2 linked regions of the Ovis aries genome follow. The protein of the gene in region 1 purifies or fractionates together with the protein of each later gene. This does not show direct contact. Links are inferred from orthologs where the notes say so. Each region holds a gene or a part of one and is shown on either strand. Other genes may lie near its edges. The genes, in order: NUP43 and NUP133.

The links.
Region 2: the proteins of NUP43 (region 1) and NUP133 purify together in Homo sapiens (affinity purification with mass spectrometry; 5 studies listed by BioGRID and IntAct, counting the BioPlex papers as one, with this or other methods). This does not show direct contact. The link is inferred for Ovis aries from reciprocal best matches to the Homo sapiens genes NUP43 and NUP133.

What each region holds. Positions count from the first base shown.
Region 1 is NC_056061.1:74,004,717-74,008,547, forward strand, and holds part of NUP43 (nucleoporin Nup43), read right to left. Parts: intron 3,447-3,831; coding exon 3,369-3,446; intron 2,378-3,368; coding exon 2,197-2,377; intron 396-2,196; coding exon 260-395; intron 1-259. UniProt on the Homo sapiens protein: Component of the Nup107-160 subcomplex of the nuclear pore complex (NPC). The Nup107-160 subcomplex is required for the assembly of a functional NPC.
Region 2 is NC_056078.1:970,548-973,174, forward strand, and holds the end of NUP133 (nuclear pore complex protein Nup133), read right to left. Parts: intron 1,564-2,627; coding exon 1,427-1,563; 3' UTR 815-1,426; downstream 1-814. UniProt on the Homo sapiens protein: Involved in poly(A)+ RNA transport. Involved in nephrogenesis.

The sequences.
Region 1 (3,831 bases):
TGAATCTGGGAAGGTGGAACCTTTGGTACAGAGGATTCCTGGTAGAGTGCCAACTATAAAGTATACATGGATTTTCGAGTGTATAGAGGGTCAGTGACTCTAATGCTTATATTGTTCAAGGGTCAACTGTATTTGCTTTATCAAAGTTAATCAGAAATTACTCTTAACATGCAATTGAAATACAATATGGCTTATAAAGTTAGTTGCTACAAATAAACAAATTTGCTTTATACTACTGAAATTACAGATCAAAACTTACAGTGATAATATCTGCGTGGGCTCATTTCCTTGTTGTCTAAAATCCCATATTTTTAACTGTCCAATTGAATTTACTGTAAGAATCTCAGGAGTTCGAAGGAAGGTTACAGCATGGAGTGTACTGCTATCTGCATTGTCTGTAAATTAAGAAAACTGCAGTGTATGTTAACAGGGCACCACTTTTCCATGAATACCTTAAACAGTGTTCCCTCTGTTGACTGAAAAATTACAAGTGAAACTTTAAATAAGTCACAATTTTATTTCTATGGAAAAATATAGGAACATATGTTAAAATGGACTCTCCTTTGATAGAAAAATTATATTACTCACAGGACATCTGAACTGTTTTCCAACTAGAGGACTAAGTTTTCATATATTTCTCTATTTCCACTTAAGAGTACTACATTTCTGAGACAGCTGTTCAAGTTTCTTTATAATCCAATTTTATCTCCCACCACTGCTTCACCCTAGACAACCTAGACATCATGTTAAAAAGCAGACATTATTTGCTAGCAAAGGTCCATCCAGTCAAAGATACGGTTTTTCCACTAGTCATGTATGGATGTCAAAGTTGGACTTTAAAGAAAGCTTAGTGCCAAAGAATTGATGGTTTTGAATTGTGGTGTTGGAGAACACTCTTGAGAGTCCCTTGGACTGCAAGGAGATCAAACCAGTCCATCCTAAAGCAGATCAGTCCTGAATATTCTTTAGAAGGACTGATGCTCAAGCTGAAACTCCAATCCTTTGGCCACCTGATGTGAAGAACTGACTCACTGGAAAAGACTCTGATGCTGGCAAAGATTGAAGGCAGGAGAAGGGGACGACAGAGGATGAGATGGTTGGATGGCATCCCTGACTCAATGGATATGAGCTTGAGCAAGCTCCAGGAGTTGGTGATGGACAGGGCTGCAGTCCATGGGGTCGCAAAGAGCAACTGAACTCAAGTGCTTCATCCAGAACCTCCATTCTGTTGGGCCAAACACCACAGCTTCCTACAGAGCTCAATCTGACCCTGTATTATTCTGCTGACTCATCTCAAATTGATTCATCTTTATCCTTATCAGCTCTCTTTTCTGCCATGAAGTTCTTCCTGTTTGCCTTAATGGTCCTTCTGCTTTTTCTAGTGTGTCTAAGCTTATACATCTTTATTTAGTATATACTTAAAGACTTTTATTTTGTGACCCTTCTCCAAACTGTCACCAGGCCAGCAGTCTTTCAAAGCTAAACAAATGGTATTTCTCAGAACTAAAAATGATAATAATAATACAAAAAACTGATTCATGGGCTCAATCCATAGAAGTTCTAATTCAAGAGGTCTAGGGTGATGGGCTGTTAAAAATCTCCTCGGGCAAGTCTGTGCAAAATATGGTTGAGAACTACTACACTAGTCAGACATGATTTAGCAACTAAACCACTACCACTGCACTAAATAATCCTTCTAAAACACGATGTGGGTACATTACCCCTTTGCTCAAAAACTTTCAATGTCTCCTTAGCTGTCTACCTAAAAAAAGGTATTATCTTTCACAACCTGACTGCAATCTACCTTTCTTGTTTCATCTCTCAATTCTCCTACACAAATATCTAAAGTCAGGTCAAACTACACTTTCTGTCATTCTCTGACTGGCCTTACCCCGCCTCTATGCTATTCCCTTTATCTGGCGTGCCACTTCTCAGTATTATTTATGGTCTAGAATCTAGATTAAATGAATTGCCCTGCCCCTCAATTCTTTATCCAGTAATTCCTTCCAACCATCCTCCCCACAAATTTCTCTTTCTTCTAGTCAGTCCTTCATACAGGCCTTATCAACATACTATCTTGATAAAGGGATCCTGCTTTGTATATTTCTAAATCCCTCAAACATTTAACCCCTGGCACTGCACACAGGAGGTGCTGAATTACTATAAGATAGACCAAAGAAAGATGATTTTTCTTACCTATAGTTCTTACAGCTTCCTTGTGATCAGCTCTGAAGAGATTTATCCGACCATCTTCTCCAACTGTGACAATTTCTGGGTTGTTGCACACAACACCTGTGCATGGTGCATTGCTACAGGAAGGACTGCCTGGACCCGTGTGGTAGTGAGCTGCTGTCCACTGCTGGCTGACTGACAGAGTCTAGGTGTCAGAAATGAGGCTATGATTAATTAAAGCAAAGCTCCAAATAATTAGCACTTTCCCTAACTACACTATTATTTTAAAACTGTGTTTCATACCTTTCTAGAAAAATAGTACTCTTTTCGCTTTGTATTTCAAAGTATTAAGGTCTAGGAAATACTTCCATTAAAGCTCTGTATTCACCAGATCAGATTCCAAAGAAACCCTGTTTAATAATATTCCAAACTTATCTCAAACTAAAGAAACAGTTTTTAAGCATCAGGTAATTATGTGTTCAAAGACAACTCTAAATTCTTAAGGGAACTGATCTACATTGAAGAGATAAATCTCTGCAGGGCTTTCCAGATGATTCTGTAAGAATAACATTTAACTAGATCTGGGTCTTATACTTACTAGGCATGTCTATTAGTAAGATGACCTTTATCAATATCCAAATCTAAATAAGCATTCTCTTCCAGCAACTTAAAACTGTTAACTTCAAGTGGGCCTATTTTAAAGGACTGCCCTTAAACTATGCTCTGAAAGTCAGCACTCTTAGCCTTTGACATATAAGAAAAGCATAGAAAAAGTATCAAGCCTTCATATAGTGTATCTTTCCTTCTAATTACAACCTCGGTTCTGTTCACAGAAGTAGAGTAGCTGTTCCTGCTCCCTCTCATGATGTCTGAGCTAGAAAGTGCTCTTTCTCTCTTCAGAAAACCAGAGGAGGATCTTAACAGAAAGTTACAGGAAAATCACTTGCCAGAATACCATACTGTTACATGGAACCTAAGAAAATTGAAGAGTTACCCAATTTCAATGAAAGTTCACACAGAAATGGTTCTAGAATTAGTCAACTAAAAGATGGGTAATGCAATGACATTTTCCCCTCCTTTTTATAGTTTTTGAGACAATAAAACTTTATAATTTGTCATTATTAAGTATAGCCTTCTTTAAGCCTTCCTAAAAATAATTAAAATGCAAACTGAGTTTTCAAACAAAAATTCTTTACCTGGTTATTTGGATGGTGGAGGAAAATTGTCACACATCCTGTCGATGAAGCAGCTACAATTCTTTCCTGGTCCAAAAACTAAACAGAAAATTCCTGCATGTTATAAATTCATAAATATCAGCAGGGAAGAAGCCCATTTATCTAACTCAATTAGCAGTGTAACAATTTTAAAATGCAAAGAACCTACAAATGCTAAGCAAATAAAATGCCAAAGTCAAAACTGCTATACAAATAAAAGTATTTTCATGAAGAATAAACAACAATAATTTCCCCCCTCAAACCTGTTCATCTACAATTGATTTAATTTTGTACAACTACCATAAACGTTTAGGAGAGTATAATTCCCAGGGTCAGGCAGCTTTCCACAGAAGAAAATGCAGGGACTCTGAAGTCTTACAGATCAGAATTTGAAAACTTAATTCCATTCCCACCAGTTATTACCCGATTTGAAACCTGGGCCAAG
Region 2 (2,627 bases), on another chromosome or scaffold:
ACCGTCACCGCCTCTCCGCACAGGGGGTAACCGGGCTTGTGGCACTCAAGGAGGCGGCACGGCCCTGTGTCCCTAGAGCACAGCGTCACAGGACAGGATCGTATGGATAAGAACTAAGTCCCTCTAAAACCAACATCCTTTAACACAAGAATCCAACCATTTCTTATGCCATCTGACAACTCTCTCTCCCTAACTCCCCTAGAAGTGTTAGGACACTCCTCACCCTGATCTCACGCTGCCTCACCATGGCAATGCAGACAGAGGCCAGAGGCCGGGCGGCCCCTTCTTGCCCTCTGGTTACCACTGGGAGCAGATCAGAGGCAGCATCTGCAGCCTGCAGTGGAGCCGGCACGAGGGCTGAGCTCTGCGAAGCCAGGAACCGGACTCTTCACCACATTTAACTCCTGACCTTTTCAGCTGCTGGAACCAAGTTGTTTAGTGAGTATTCAACTGGGCCAAAGCCTGAATATGCCAGCAACTCCGTCTTTATTTAAAGACAGATAAAAACTGCACGATGACACTGGCCAAGACAAAGAAGCTTTGAGAACGACTACTTTTCAGTTAAATCAGTTGCCATACTAAGAAAACCGATAAAGGTTTCTATAAAGGTTTCACACCTTACATTAGCTAGACAGACTGAGGAGAAGCTGGAGTTCAGTGTAAATCATTCTGAAATGCATGACGCTGACTGAATAGGTTGTGGTGGTGGTGGTTTAATTGCTAAGCCATGTCGATGTTTTGCGACCTTATGGACTGTAGCCCGCCAGGCTCCTGTCCATGGGATTTCCCAGGCAAGAATACTAGAAAACGTAAATACGCTTTATTCACCAAGATATTTTTATTAATACTATTATTTATGTAGAAAAATTTGACATCTTTCCCAATGAAGTAAACAGTTATCAAGCTCACACTGAATTGCCCCACTTTTTGTTTTGTCTATTTTATAAGTTAGCAAATTGTGACACTTATCCCAGTAGATATTCTGCTCCCAGCCCTAATCAAAATCAAAACAAATATTCCAGACACTTTGCAGTACATAACATCGAAGAGTCACAGCAATTTCAGAGACGACTTAGTGAAATCTTGCTGTTTTTAGAGTTATAGAAGCTAAAGCCTAGAAGTGGTCTTTGCATACAAGAAGCTGGAACCAGGACCCTGGATGGAGTGAGAAAAAAAGGAACAGTAGTAGATATGAAAACAACTGATAAACTTCAGTGGAAAACAGGAAAAAAAAAACCAGTATCATGTAACTGAAAACCAAAACTACAGTCATAAAACTATTTTGTAGTAGCTTACAAATAAAGTATAAAAAACTCAGAAATATATGTTATAAAACTGTACAAACTCCTAGATGTTTAAGGTCTAAAGTTTTTATAAGGACACACTTATATAAATTTTAAGGAAAAATAATCATTTTAAGAAAAAGTCACATTTGTCCCTGGACATAGTATTCGTAATTGGCTTTCAAAACAAACTCAAAGTAAGGGTTGGACTTCAAACTTCCCAGCTGGTCGGCCTGCAGCAGCTCCTTCACCTCGGGTAGGTACTCACTGAGCTGAATGCCTAAAAATACAAACACAGACAGTTTTGTTTTTTTTTTTAATTTTCACATAATTCTCAAATGAATTAAGATGACAGATGATAGAAACACCTGTGCTTCTATTTAAAATATAACGTCACTCTGCTATTGGAAAATACTCTGTTCTAAATTCCTTCCATCTGCCAAGCATACTCACAGGCCTGACAATATGACAGTCTTCACTTAGTAGGGGCTACATGACTGTTCTATGTATCTGGGCTCCGTGTTTGACTCTAGTGGTCAAAAGAGCCGTCAAAACAGCCATTCCATTTCAAGCCTTTAAAACAATCTGCAACATTTTCATTTTTCTCCATAGCTTAGGCCATTCCTTCAGTGTGGAAGTTTTAAGTTAATAATCACTTGAAAACAAGTATTTCAGGGCCAAGCAAACAGCATTCTAAGCAGCTATACAGTAAAAGAAGTAGAAGGTATCAGTGAAAGATTGCTTATAAACCAGTTGTAAAATTTGTTAAGACAGGAATCCCGAGTTATCAAGGAAGACAAAGTTATACTATACCCTCTTAAAAGACTTTCAGACATTTATCTGTCCCCCAGATCAAAGACCCACTGTTTCACCTGGATGGGTGGTCTCCCCACACTCCAGAAATGCCTGACTGCAGAGGTGCTTATTTGAGAACTGGTTTTTAATGTTTTTTTTCCTAGGGTAATTGGTTCACTTAATTTTTTTAAAATTAATTTCCAGAGTCAACTTTGGTAATATATATTTTCCTTGATTTTGATCAACTTTCTTTTGTATTTCAAGTTTATTTTTGAAAAGACATATAAAATTCTTTAAAAATAAAAAAGAAAACAAGTATTTCCAACAATTCTATATTCTCCTATTCAGGAAATAATATAGTGGAACACTGCCATGAAAGCTATCTGCAGTATCTAACATACTGGCAGTTTCTCTCTGAGACTAGGAGGAGGGAAACCACGCCTTTGTCAGTCCCCTGTGGACCTGGAAAGCCAAAAAGCATCTGTGTAGTTACAGAACAGCATATACAATTTTCTCATTTGATAAATAAAGAAAATTGGAAGAAACATT